2 linked regions of the Chlamydomonas reinhardtii genome follow. The protein of the gene in region 2 binds, or shares a complex with, the protein of the main gene of each other region. Links are inferred from orthologs where the notes say so. Each region holds a gene or a part of one and is shown on either strand. Other genes may lie near its edges.

Evidence for each region.
Region 1: CHLRE_03g160450v5 (region 2) and CHLRE_10g427600v5 share a complex: the UniProt entries of both Arabidopsis thaliana proteins name them as parts of the KTN80-KTN1 complex. The link is inferred for Chlamydomonas reinhardtii from reciprocal best matches to the Arabidopsis thaliana genes AT5G23430 and ERH3.

Annotation. Positions count from the first base shown.
Region 1 is NC_057013.1:1,317,351-1,325,137, forward strand, and holds CHLRE_10g427600v5 (uncharacterized protein), read right to left. Parts: upstream 5,108-7,787; 5' UTR 4,837-5,107; coding exon 4,715-4,836; intron 4,480-4,714; coding exon 4,323-4,479; intron 4,145-4,322; coding exon 4,085-4,144; intron 3,857-4,084; coding exon 3,622-3,856; intron 3,395-3,621; coding exon 3,181-3,394; intron 2,852-3,180; coding exon 2,743-2,851; intron 2,569-2,742; coding exon 2,533-2,568; intron 2,376-2,532; coding exon 2,274-2,375; intron 2,126-2,273; coding exon 1,985-2,125; intron 1,691-1,984; coding exon 1,487-1,690; intron 1,301-1,486; coding exon 1,118-1,300; intron 945-1,117; coding exon 831-944; 3' UTR 212-830; downstream 1-211. Other genes in the region: CHLRE_10g427650v5 (uncharacterized protein), read left to right, coding at 5,490-5,577, 5,733-5,821, 5,991-6,146, 6,326-6,574, 6,698-6,943, 7,070-7,159, 7,290-7,459, 7,616-7,787. UniProt on the Arabidopsis thaliana protein: Severs microtubules in vitro in an ATP-dependent manner. Required for oligomerization of functional KTN80-KTN1 complexes that catalyze microtubule severing. This activity may promote rapid reorganization of cellular microtubule arrays.
Region 2 is NC_057006.1:2,570,394-2,576,187, forward strand, and holds the end of CHLRE_03g160450v5 (uncharacterized protein), read right to left. Parts: coding exon 5,145-5,794; intron 4,915-5,144; coding exon 4,621-4,914; 3' UTR 4,208-4,620; downstream 1-4,207. Other genes in the region: CHLRE_03g160400v5 (uncharacterized protein), read left to right, coding at 1-76, 327-518, 672-748, 1,012-1,149, 1,327-1,418, 1,568-1,645, 1,874-2,034, 2,274-2,440 and 2 more. UniProt on the Arabidopsis thaliana protein: May participate in a complex which severs microtubules in an ATP-dependent manner. This activity may promote rapid reorganization of cellular microtubule arrays.

The sequences.
Region 1 (7,787 bases), on a different chromosome or scaffold from region 2:
AAGAAACGTAAGGACGATAGCGAAAATCACAGCGAGCAAACAAAGTCCGCATCTCCGAAGTGTGCCTAGCCGAAGCGAGCTATTGCTTGACTGTCTCCGTCTCATGATAATAGACTACATGTATTACTGCTTACAGCCACCGAAATCAAAAGAGTGTCAGCATTTTGACCGATGCGTCGAGATCATGGCGCACAACAGGGGACCCCGGCCTGGACCATTTATACCCTCGCCCTCAAGCTTTCTCCACGAGCCCGACTGCTCCCTCACTCGATTTGCTTCAGGCAGAATTGTTAGACTGGTATCCCGTCCGGCTCTCCATTCCCTGTGCCTAGTGCACCATAGTACGGTAGAGCCAGGTAGAGCCCATCGCTGCCGTCGGAAGGGTGCCCCGCCCCCAAGGCGTCCCGCTGCTCTGTGTAGGCGTCCACCCCCCCTCCCGACGTCCTCCCTTGACAACCTTCGCGAGATTTCGGACGCCCAAGCTTCAAATCCACGCACGATGCAGCATCCACCCGGCACGACTACCGTAGCAGACTCAACATTCGTTCTGAACCCACACCGCACACACCGCTCACGCAAGTGCAGCGCGCACATGCCCTATGCACCAGCCTGCCGTCATTCAGTCGCCACCTGCTGTTGTGTCACGCCAAGTGTGCCCAGCCCTTACTGGCATGACACCGTTACCTGCGAGCCTGGTGCCACACCACACAGGCATACGCCGGACGGGCCATGAACTCCACCCCGCCACGCCCTGCCACGCCACCCATGCACACCCATGCTTTTAAACTGGCAGGACACACACAAGCACGAAGCGGCGCAAAGGCGCCAGGCTAGGTGCTGCCGAACACGCTGAGCCACTCCTCGTGCCGCTTGATGTCCTCCTTGGACACGGACGGGTTGATCTTGCGCAGTGCCTCGCGGAAGTCGTCGGACGTGATGGGCTCCTGTTCATGGGAGTTCGTAAAGGCATCCGGAGCTCAGCGAACTTGCAGCACCTATTGTACGTTTTGCAGCAGGTGCACACACACTCGACATACTGTACGTACGGCATTCGGATAGCGCCCCTGGCCCAACCGCCTACCCACCCAGCCCAGCTCGGCAGGCTGGCACCTCGCACCTGGCCGCCCGTCATGCCCGCCTCGCGCAGCGCCTTAATCTCCGCCGGCGTCTTGCCCGCCACCAGTCGCCGCATGCCGTTCATGGCGGCGTCGCGGCACACGTTGGTGATGTCGTCGCCGCTGTAGCCGTCCATCTGGCCCGCCACCGCCTCCAGGTTCACGTCCGGTGCCACTGCCACGTCCTGTGGGTGTGGGTATGTTATTTTGGTGGGTATGTTGCGTGGTGTGCGATTTGCGATTGCGGAGTGCACAAGGGCACGTATGACAGGTGGGGGCTCGCACTGGCGTAGGGCCGTGCGCAAAAGCCACACGACCAGCCCAGGCACAATCAAACCAACCCAGCCCATTCTACAATGCCCGCCACCCACCCGCAGGTTGATCTTGAGTAGCTGCAGCCGCTGCGCCTGCCCCGGCAGCGGGATGTACACGCGCTTCTCCAGGCGGCGCCGCAGCGCCTCATCGATGTCCCAGGGGAAGTTGGTGGCTGCCAGCACGAACACGTGCTTGGGAGCCGGCGGCTCGCCGTCGGGACCCGGCTCCTTGTCCTTTTCGCTGCCGTGCACGCCGTCCACCTGAGGAGACATTGAGGTTGGTGAGCGCAGCAGTAAGAGGCGAGGTTGTCGCCCACCCGTTGCCTGTCTACCACTTGTCATACCCGATACTGACGACCATGAACCTGCCGCCTGTCCTCTACCTTATGCCCATGCCATCGAGGCACATGCCCGGATGCCGCATCGCAGCAGCCAGCCGCCGCTGGCCACGGCCCCTAAACACCAGACACTCTCTTGTGCCAGCACATGCCCACCACCAACAACCCCGCCACCCCTAACCCCCCCCACCACCGCCATCCCCCAGCAGGCGCCCACCTGCGTGAGCAGCTCCGTCTTGACGCGGCGGCTGGCCTCGTGCTCATTGGCGGTGCCGCGCTGGGAGCAGAGCGAGTCGACCTCGTCGATGAAGATCATGGAGGGGGCCAGGTCGCGGGCCATCTCAAACAAGATGCGCACCTGGGCTCGCGAGGGAAGACATGGAGGGGCAGATGGGTGCATGGGCTCATGGGCAGAGGTGTCGAGCCGCAAAGCGCCGGTCCCCAGCACCAAGCCCATCTGTCGCCCCAGACACAACACCAACCCTATAGCCACCCGCCAGCCCCACCATGCGCTCGCTCTCGCCACGGTACTTGGACGCCAGCGTGGCGGAGGAGACGTTGAAGAAGGTGCACGACGTCTCCGTCGCGGCGGCCTTGGCGAGCATGGTCTGTCGCGGGGATACAAATGTCGCGGGGATACAAAGTGGTTGGCCGGGATGGGACATGATGGATGATGGGTCACCGGGTGCGCACGTGAGCGAGGTTGAGAACGACTGTGGTCCTTGAATGCACGAGTACATGACATTGTGGGGCGCCCGCGCTCACCTTGCCGGTCCCGGGCGGGCCGAACAGCAGCACACCCTGCAAGCCGCACCAAGGCGCAGGAGCGACGTCTCAACTCAGCACCTCAAACGCCCCATAAGTGCCTCCAGTGCCATGCGACCCAACCCACACATCGGCACATGTGACATGTAAAGCCCAACGACTGCCCACCCTAGCTGCCCATCCCATTTAAGCCTCAAGCGCCAGCCCTACCTTGACGGGCCTCCTGATGCCAGTGAAGAAGTCGGGCATGATCATGGGCAGCACCAGCGCCTCGTTCAACACGCGCTTGGCCTCCTCCAGACCCGCAATGTCGTCCCACCTGTATGCGCACGCGCACGTGTTAGAAAGCGCCCGGGAAGGAAACACGCAGGACAGAACACGCGCATGTGTGCACGTGCGCGACGTGGGGCCACAGCAGCGCCGGGGCGGCAGCGAGTGGACCGTGGGGAGGTTTGCGAGCGAGGCGGCACCACATCCCATCGAGCACCCAAACACAACGGCCCTGGGCACGGCTGAATACCGCGCACAGCAAGCAACACGCAAGCCGTATAAACTTATCGACGCCCGACCAGCGCCCCATGACACATCTGCTACATCCCCATCACATGAATGCGCACTAAGAGCCCACAAACAAATGCTTGAACCCACTTGACGCTGGTTCCCTGGTCCACGATGTCTCGCTCCAGCATGGCTGCCAGCTCCTGGTCCGGACCCGAGTACTGCTTCTTGGCCTTCTCGCCCGCGCTGCCCTTGTCGCCAGGCTTGCCGCCTGGCCCCGCCGCGCCCTGCTTCCCCTGCATGTTCTGGCGCCAGGGCCTGTCATAACTGCCGCCTGCGGCAGCGTTCCCTGCCGGCGCGTTGCCTGCACGGCAGGTAGCGGGGAGGTGCGGGGCGACCAACAGTTTCGACCAGCAATGTTGAGGATGGGGCTTTGGTCCGACAGTCCTCATGTGCGCCCCGACCTGCGCTCCACCACAGCCGGATTCATCCCGTTGCATATCCAGGTACACTTGGCCTGCCACCCTGCATGCCTTCTTCAAGGCCCACACAGGCATCATGCATGGCCCACTCCCGCAACCCCGCGCCGACCTGTCGGTCGCCGTGGCGCCGAGCCGGCGCGCCCCGACGGCCCCGCCGCGTTGCCTCTGGCGGGCGGACCGCCGCCGCCGCCGTTGTTGTTGTTAGCCCAGGAGGGCAGCTTGTTGTCATCCTGGCTGGAGCGTGCGCGGGGAGGCGGCGCGCCGCGGGCGGGCGCGCCGCTGCGGCCCTCGCCGCGTGTGGGCGGCCGCCACACCATGGGGTCCTCCTGGCCCGAGTTGTGGCACTGCAGCGCGATGACAGGGCGCAAGCGAATCGTTCGGTTATACCCGAACAACTTAGTTCGTGGGGCAGCTAAACTTGGCGGTGTAAGAAACGTTGGGAATTTGGGTGATAAGAGAGTCTTCGGCGCCGGACAGATCAGGTCGGCACTCGGCACAGCAACCAACCACAGCAGGTTAGCAGCCCAAAAAGTATTCAACGCGTACGCCACCATACGCGCTCCGGCACCCACCACAACAATGGGTTGCCGGTAGCCGTCATCGTAGGCCGCCGAGCCACGAGGGTCGTTCATCTGCGATTCCAGGGCACAGTATTTGCCGTACACTGGTAGTCAAGTGCTGGCACACATTCAAATGCTTACACATGAGCTGACATCCATGACGTCCAGCCCCGATCAGGACCCGAGCGTGCCAGAGCCTGCCATGTGCCACAGCCCGCCCACACCACACACTCTCCCACAGCCCACCCACCTCGGGGTAGCTGTTGGACCGCGCGACGCTGTCGTACACGCGCATGCCCCGTGCCTCCTTGTCGCACTGCCGTACGCTGCTGTGCTCATCTTGCACCTCCTTGAGCAGCGCGCTCCATTGCCGGATAGCGTGTGGGTCACCCAGCGTGCGGACGTACCTGTGTGTTATTTGCATGTGTATGCGCGTATATGTTGCTGTAGTTACGCACGTGCATGTGTATGTGTGCGTGTGCGTGTGCGAGGGTTGGGGGCACTCGCGTGTGCCGTGAGTCGCGTGGAGCCGCGGCTGGCAGCTGGCTGTCATCAGGTGCGCCCACCGCCGCCCCCTGTCCAACTGCGTGCAGTCTGCCCCGGCGCCCATGACAGACACACCACCGGTATAGAGCTGCTTACCGAGTGATGAGCTCCACGGCGTTCTCATAGTACGTGCACCCCGCGGAGTAATCCCCGCTCATGGCGCAGTCTCTCCCCGTCGTCACGGCGATGGTGATCGCCTGCACGTCCGCGCCCCCCATCTCCACGCACGCGCCTCAAGTTGCCCGCTCAAGGCAAGAAGCAGGTGCCTTGCAAGCACTGGCGCAGCTCGGCAATTGCCAGACCCCACAAAGCAGGCACGCTAGTCGCAGTATGTCAGATTGTCAAGGTCGCGTTGTGTGTCAATTATACAATTCGCACATGTCAACGGCGCTTGGAGGGCTCACAGGCTGCTTTGCTTCGCCCCTGTGCTCTAAAGCAAGCAAGTTTAAGTGCCAGAAGGTAGCTTTTGTCGTCTTTTATATCTGGAGCAACTCTAGCGCGTGAAAGGGCTGGTTTGGGGCGAGCTGAGGCTAGGGAACTGGTTCCAATTTGGGATGCCCCATCGCAAATTCGGCAGACAGCAGAACTAGGCAAATAGCAAACGTAAATCTCGTATAATCATGGATAATGATGCAATAAAGTTTCCACGCATCCACACTGCTGCTTGTTGCAACTCGCAAGCTTTTGTAGTCTGGAATAGGACCGTGCCCTCCAAACGAGCCGGTTGAGCTTGCACATATCATATCGATTCCAATGAAGATGCTATCAAACCCGTGGGGCGTTGTGGGCTCACGTTAGGGACTGGAAGGAGAGTGCGCTAGCTCGGGGGGAGCGACGTCAACTTGGTTTACGCGCTCTCGCCAGCTCTCAGATGGAGCATTTTATGGATGTTGCGAGCTCGGGGCCGTCAGAGGAGTCTATCCTTGAGCAGACGTATCGCCTCGAGGCGTACTTGAAAGGTGCGGGCCACATGGTTGACACCTGGGCCCGACAGCAACTCGACCGCGCTGGCGATGCAACCGGGAACATAAGAGAAACAGGCGCCCTGCGCGCTTCTCAGGGACTTTGACCAACCACGCCAGTCCTGCCTCCCCCCAACCACTGCGTGTCGCAGGCCAAGGCTATGTGGGCAGCGAGGTTCTTAATGTGCTCAGCCCCTCCACCAGCCAGGCACAGTTTGTCATCGACCTGCTGTTCCAGATGGTGAGTGGCCGGAGGAAGGGCGGATACGAGGAGCAGGGGCTTGCACAGCGCTACATAAATGCGCTAAACGGCCGGTGGCAGGTTGCGCTGTGGTGGACCGTGCTGGACCGCAGGGGAAAGCGCAAGCCGGCGCTAGCTGACTCCCCTGCCGCATTTTTCGCACGCACAGGCACAGCAGCAATCCAATGACCGCGGCGCCCGGGAGGAGCTGCGCGACCAGGCAAACAAGGAGCGCGTGGCGGCCAACGTGGCGCAGAAGAAGCTGGAGAGCCAGGAGGAGGCCATTCGGAAGCTGCAGGCTAAGAACCAGGAATACGAGGGCAAGGTGCGAGCGTGGCCAGCGTGTATATCGCTGGGTGTTACAGGGTCTGGGCTGGCGAAGCCAACCTCTACGAGTCCATGGCCCTAGTACCTTCGTCGCGGCGAACTGCTTGATATATGTGTTTGCACGTGGCTAATCTTGTGCCCTTTGCTGCGCCCACAACTTTGCATTGCCGCACGCAGCTGCTGGCCCAGAAGCACAGCTACGAGGAGAAGCTATCCACCTTAAAGCGCGACCTCAAATCCACGCAGCTGCGCCTGAACGCGCTGTTACCCGGTGGCAGCAAGGAGGTGACGGTGCGGCGGGGAGGCTCTACCAGTGGCAACAGCGGCGGCGGCGCGGCGGCCGGCGCCGTGGGCCCCGGCGGCGCGCGCCGCGTGGTGGCGCCCACCTACGACCGCTTTCATGATGACCCTTCTGACATGATGCAGGTGTGCAAGGATGGCCGGTAGTAGAGCCCACAGGCCTTATGTCTGGTCAACTGAATGCACAGTTGCTGCTACCGGGTTATGTTGGTTGCTGTTTGCTGATCCACATTGGCGCGTGTACCGCAGCGACTGGAGGCTGATATGTCACGGCTGCGGCTAGCCAACGACAAGCTGAAGCGGGAGCTGGCAGCGGCGCGTGAGCAGGCGGCGGCCGCGGCACGGCGGGAGGATCAGGCGGCCGTGTCGCCGCGGGAGGGCACCTCGTTTCAGTCGCAATCCCAATCACAGTCAGCGGGCGCCGGGAGCCGCAGCCCGACCTCGCCGGACCCAGAGGTGGCTCGCCTGCAGCGCCGGGACAGGGAGATGGAGCTGGTGAGTCATTGCGGCAGCCGGCGAGAGTGCTTCAAGATGTATGTTGAGGTTTGTGGCATGATAAGAACTGTCCGTGTGCTAGTGTTCCGACACACTGTTCACACTCTTTCAACCCTGGCCCTCCAGACGCTGGACCACCTGCGGCGGCAGCTGGACAAGGCTGTGGAGGAGCGGTCAGAGCTGCACAAGACGCTGCATTCCCTGAGGCAGAAGAACGTAAGAGTCATAGCCAAAGCAGCCATGATGCAGCGGTCTTGCAAAGGGCCACATGCGCGTGACTTTACGGGGCCTCTTTGAGTTGCCTTGATATTAGTTGCGCTGAGTACATTCACACACCCAACCACAGATAAGCCTGGACCAGGAGCGTCGGAACTTCGAGGACCGCTTCCTGCGGGCGCAGCGGGCGCACGCGGCGCTGCAGCCCGGCCCCAGCAGCACAGAGTTGCAGCAGCAGTTGGAAGGGCTGCGGGCGCAGGTTGCGGGCGCGCAGCGGGAGGCGCAGGAGGCCAACGCTAGGTGAGCGCTCGCGTGATGAGATGGTGTGCCGCCAGTGGGCACCCATGCGCTCTAGTGCCTCCTTCTCGCTGTGTCGAGTCGGCCGGGGCTGCTACGCTGCCTCCCAGCTGTCATCTGACCCAAGGCCTGCGCGCCTTCAATGTACCGTATATGCAGGGCTGTCAGCCTGGAGGGGCGCCTGGTGGAGGCGGAGGCGGCGCAGCAGAGCAACAAGCGCTACGTGGAGGTGCTCAAGCGCTCCATACAGCTGTCCAAGGGCCCCGACACGCTGGAGGCGGTGCAGCGCGTGGTTGAGGAGGTCATGGCGCCCGCGCACGAGCAGCTGCAG
Region 2 (5,794 bases):
ATGATGGCCGCCGTGGTGGCGGACCCACGCGAGTACGTGGTCAGCGTGCGCGTGGACGCGCGCTTCGCACACATAGGTGAGAGCTGTTGTGTTGCCGGCACCGTGCACATCTGGTGGGCGGTTGTGAGGGGCGCTGTCTGTGTGCCGTACTGTCGAGGGTGCAGCGCACATCCGGCAGCCGCCAGGATGTGCATGTGCGGAGCTCCTGCTTATGTTTTACTATCATACGTGCAAGCACTCGTGCTATGCCGATACCTCCAACCTGTCCATTTGTTCCCAACGGCACAAGTAACCTTGCTTGCAAACCTCTCGTGCGCCGCCGGCAGGCCGCACCATTGAGTCGGCGGGCCTGCGCCACCTGCGCGGGCTGTTCCTGGCGGACCTGCAGCGGCAGGACGGCGCCACCGTGCCCTCGCCGCCGCCCACCACCATCATCCTGCAGGGCGACAAGCTCACCTTTGCGGGCGACATCCAGGGCATGCAGCACATCCTGTCGCTGCCCGGCCTCACGCCCATCAGTGAGTGGCGTCGTGTGGGCGGCGGTTGCCTCGGCTAAATGCTGCCTGGGACTTGCATGGGTCTAGGGCGTAGGCCTTGGTGAGCTGCGTGGCGGGGTCTGTAATCCTCGTACTGTAATAACCTGTCGGCGCCGCCTCCGCCACTGTGTGCAGGCTCGGCGGACCTTGCGGCGGACCTGGAGGAGACGGTGGCGGGCTCGCCCAGCAGTGACCGCATCATGGTGGAGGCGGTGAGTGGGGTTGTGCCGCAGGGCGTGTGTACGTGTGGCTACGGCATGGACACGACTCCCAGTAGTCGGCCATCGCGGGTGGGTGAGCAGCCGTGTGCTCTGCGGCCCGTGGTGCACCACAGGAGCGAACAACATACCATACACGCACACGGCTGTCAAACGCCTGTAGACGCAATATACCAACTGCCCCAGACCTCGCGAGGGTGCTTGCACCTGTCGTTCGCCTCACCGTGTCTTGTCGCGCTGCACTGCACCTCCCGCAGGTGGTGTCGCTGAGCAGCCCCATCTGCAACATGACCATTCGCGACAGCCACTTCCGCTCGCGCTACGGCGCAGTGGTGCTGGCGGTGCACCGCAACGGCGAGCGCATTGCAGGTGGCCTCGGAGACATTGTCGTGAAGGTGCGCGCGCTGCCAGCATGTACACAAAGGCTTTATATAGGCGCGACCCACTTGCCCTAAACTCCCAGCGCTCCCCCAGTGTGCAGGGCAGCTCAGTGCGCAGTTGACGTGTCAGGGCGCTAGTGGGGCAAGTGACTAAGACCATGCTCGCCCTTTGGATGGCGTAATCCTCCCCAGGGTGGTGACACCATGTTGCTGGAGGCGGGGCCGGACTTCCTCCAAAAGTACAAGCACTCTACGGAGTGGGCGCTGGCTGTGGATGCCTTCCGGTGAGCAGAGAAGTAATGGTTCTGGAGAACGACTGAGATGGCACCGCGCAGGCTGACGCCGCAGCTCCTTAGGTGGCCCCGCTGCTGCGAGGTCCTCTTCATCCAATTGTGAACCGTGTGTGCCGGGCTTTGCTTTTGTAACTGCGCAGGGTGACGCTGCCTCGTCGCGACCCGCTAGCGCTCTTCATGTCGTTGGGCATCTTCATCGCGCTAATCGTGCTCAACAGGTAAGGTGGCTGGCACTCCTGGTCAAGGGGAATGTTTACGACCGGGAAGCCTGTGTCGAAATCAATGCGCACATCATGAGTGGTTTTCTGCATTCTGCACCTGACCACGCCCCTGCCCGCCACCTCCCATATAACCGCTTTGCCCGTGCGGTGTGCCGTACCGGTACTCCCATCAATACAGCTGACGCTCAGCCCCTTGCTTTGCCGCCCCCGCCCCCGCCCCTGCAGCATGGACGTGTTGCCGCTGTCCACCACGGCGCTGGTGTGCCTGTTCGCGTACCTGATCACCGGCGTGCTGACGGTGTCGCAGTGCCGTGCCGCCATTCCCTCGTCCATCCTGCTCACGGTCGCGGGCGGCTTCGGCGTGGCCAAGGCCATGACCGTGACAGGTGCGCTCATCACAGCGCCTGGCCGCCTTGCCTGCCTGCCTCCCGCTGCACTTGCGACTTCCCAACGCCTCTCCGGCTGGTCCTGTCGATGGCCTGGCCTGCCGTGGCCCTCATGGATCACGGCGCGCTTGCAGCGACGCCCGCTCTTTGCCCCGTGTCAAAGCAGGTATCTGTGCAAGCAGTACGCAATGCATCGATGTCGATGCCAGCACAAACCTTGTTCATGCCGGTGCTGACAGGACTGGCGCACCGCCTGGCCGGCTCGCTGCTGAACGTGTTTTCGTGGATGGGCCGCGCCGGGCCTGTGGCCGCCATCTACGCCTCCACCAGCCTGCTCACGGCGCTGCTTAGCAACGGAGCCGCCGTGACACTCATGTACCCCATCGCCCGCGACCTTGCAAAGCAGGTGCGTGGGGCTGGTGCGCTGTTGCGTGTTTATTTATGCATCCCGGTCAGCCCCGCCCACGCTAGCTCTTGCTCATGCGGCCGCGCCGCACTACGTGACCCTGCGAGTGCTGTTTGCACGCCTTCACACACACAGCGGCTCCTGCTTACCATGTGTGTTGCCCCTCCCTCATCAACTGCTGACGACGCCTTCGATTTACGGCTCCCGTTTTCAGGCCGGCGTGAGCATCAAGGGGCCGCTCTACGCGCTAATGATCGGCGCCTCGTCCGACTTCTCCACGCCCATCGGCTACCAGACGAACCTGATGGTGCGTTTGCTGAGTTGCCGAAGGCTGTGGCAGGGGGCCGCGCAGGTGCAGGCACGGGTGCAAGACGCAGAGCTGCTACCAGAGGGGGTCGAGGGCCGAGAGCGCAGCTGCGTGGTATAGGTTAGCTGGGCGGCTGGGCCACGTGGCACGAGAGGTTGGAATGTGTGTGTTGCCCTGACAGCCTGCGCCCTGTGCTCTTGCGTGCTCGTGCAGGTCAGCGGTCCCGGCGGGTACCGCTTCCTGGACTTCACGCGGTTCGGGCTGCCGCTGCAGTTCGTTGCGGCCCTCATCACCGTGCCCATCTGTGTCCTGTACTTTGAACCCCGTACTTAGTAGCAGCCGAGGGTCTAGCGGGCAGGCGGTCGCTTGGAGCAGTATTGGCTTGAAGCCCGGGAACCTAGCAGAGAGGCGCGAACAGAGCAGCAGGGGAACAGCTGCTTGCATGGCGGTGTGGTGCTGTACTGATATTATAGGATGGATGTTAACGGTAGAGAGGAGGTTCGGGAGTTGGCGCTAGGCAGGAGGCGAAGGGAGCACGCGGCCCATGTCGTGCGCGCGAGCGTGGGGGCTCGGCCCTGCTCATCCTTTCGGTGTGCATCTGTACTGTAGGACTGGAAACAGGCGATGCGTTGCACACGTGTGCGGTGTACTGTATGCTGCGGATTCCTTGCGTCCGCTATGTCTAGTGGAATGGCATGTGCACTGATTTCGCGTTCTGTGTGCTGGAGGATTGCGGTCCGCAAAACGGCGACGCAGCGATCGCGAGGAGGAGGCTGGCTTCAAGCGTGCCCGCCAATGAAGCCCCCCATCCATGCTTGGCACGTGCTTAAGTGGGGCAGCTCTAGGGCTGAAGTGCTCTAGGTGGTGACGAAAGTGCACGGGTATTGAACGGGATGTTTGCGGGCGAGTGATGGAGATGGGCATGGTCTGACGGCCCTTGGGCCGTAGACTCGGGTGTGAGGCGATAAGAGGCCATTGAGGCGCCTTTCGTGGACTGTGGTGACGGAGGCTTCTGACGCTTCTGATAGTCTGGTACTGAGCAACGGATGAGGCGCACACGATTGGGGCATGAGATCATGCACTATGTATGTAGTGCAGGCATACGCATTAAGCAGGCGCAGGCGCACCGCCGCACCGGCAGCGCTACAGCATGTGGGTAGGAGGGCACAACAGGAGGTTTTGAGCAGTACGGTATGGCACATTTAATGTCAAGTGCTGTGGTGGTGGACACTGGATGTGGCAGCAGTCTCGGTACATTGACACACAAGGACTCTGCTCCATAGATGAAGAGGAGTCGAGGACGAAGGGCGAATAAGTCCGACTCGGGGGCAGGAGACTGGCTAGCTGCTGCCAGTCCGTAGTAACGGAGAGGCTTCTGAAGCTTCTGACCTCAAGCCCAGCCGTGCATGGATGCGGAGGACATGCTTTGTGTCTCGGGCTCGGGGCGCTGTAAATATACACGTCAATGGAGGTTACAGCTACTTCTGCGCAGGTTTGGACTTCTATCCAAAACGTGGACCACAATGCAAACGCAGCCTTGAGTGCCTTGGCAAGCATTTACACTTGGTTCAGTGTTCAGTGTTGGGCAGGAGGCCGGTTCAGCTGCGTCTCATGCCACAAGCCCACAACCATCAATCACAGCCCATGCCCACACCATGCGTGCAGGCCTGATCACGTCCATTCGTCCTGCAGGGCCACCCATGTCGCCGTGTGCAATGCGCGCTGGCCCGCTGCCCCGCCAGCCACCAACCACGCATCACACCAGCCACCTCCACGCCTCCTGCTTTTCCCGGGACTCTTGCGGCGCATGCATGGATGCACCATCTCCTCCTCCGTTCTCTCTGCCATCACGCACCACAAGCACCAGCGCTCGCTAGAGCTGCGCCAGCTGTGCTGCCAGCTCGCCCGCGCGCACGCCCAACGTCTCGCTTGAGCGCGCCAGGCTGTTCAGGCGTGGCACCATGTTCTGAAGCACCAGCTTGGCCTTGGCGGCGCGCTCGCGCCGCTCCTCAAAGCTGAGGTCTATGCCCACGCCGCGCGCGCCCGGGCCGCACAGGTCCCGGATGACGGGCCCAAAGGCGCGTATGTGCAGCGCCAGCACTTCCAGCCCCGTCTGCTGCTGCCGGTCCGAAGGCAGCGACAGCACCGTCTCCACCACCGTCATCACCTGCGGGAGGAGGGGAAGGGGGCAAGGCGTGAGCTGCATTGCGCGCGTGGCGTGAATTTGGGTGTGGTTGGTCCTGATGGTCCTTGCACGTGCATCTTGTCCCTGATTTGTCCTTTACCGGGTACGGCTGGCCGCGCCGGGCATCGGCCCCGCCACGTCGATACTGCTATTAAAACGTACCAGAACACGCGGCTTCCCGGCTGCTGCATCTGCTGCCTGCCACAACTCACCTCGCCCACCAGGTCCAACGTGAACACGTCCCGCCGGTCGTGCATGGCGGACAGCAGGTCCGCCAGGGCCGCCGTGTCGTCGCCCCGCCGCGCCGCGGCGATGGCGTTGCGCCAGTCGCCCTTCTGCACAAAGTTTCGCATGATCATGAGCGTGTTGGCGCGCTTCTTCATGGCCGACAGGAACATGCCGTGCCGGCTCGACAGCGCAGACGCCGCCTCCAGGTCCGAGGGCACCACACTCGCGTAGCCGCCTCCGCCTGCGCCTCCGCCTCCGCCGCCTAGCCGGTCCATGCCGGAGGGGCCGGCGGCTGCGCCGCCTGGCCCCTGCCAGGGGTAGCGCTGGTCCATGTCCCGGTCCTCGCCCACACCAACCCCCACTCCGACGCCCACGCCGCGGTCCGGCCCTGACCCCGCGCCGCGGTAGCCGGGCCCTGACCCCGCAGACCGGGACGCTGGCGGGGCGGCCGGCGCGTGTACCTCGATGGTGGGCTCCCGCGGCTGCGACCGCTGCCGCGCCAGGCCGCCTCCGCCTCCGCCAGCCATGCGCGACAGGTCGTCTGGCTGCAGCTGCCCGCGCATGAGGCTGTCGCCCACGCCAACGCCGATCGACACCATGCCCGGCCGCGCGCCGGCGGCGTGCCCCGACGCCG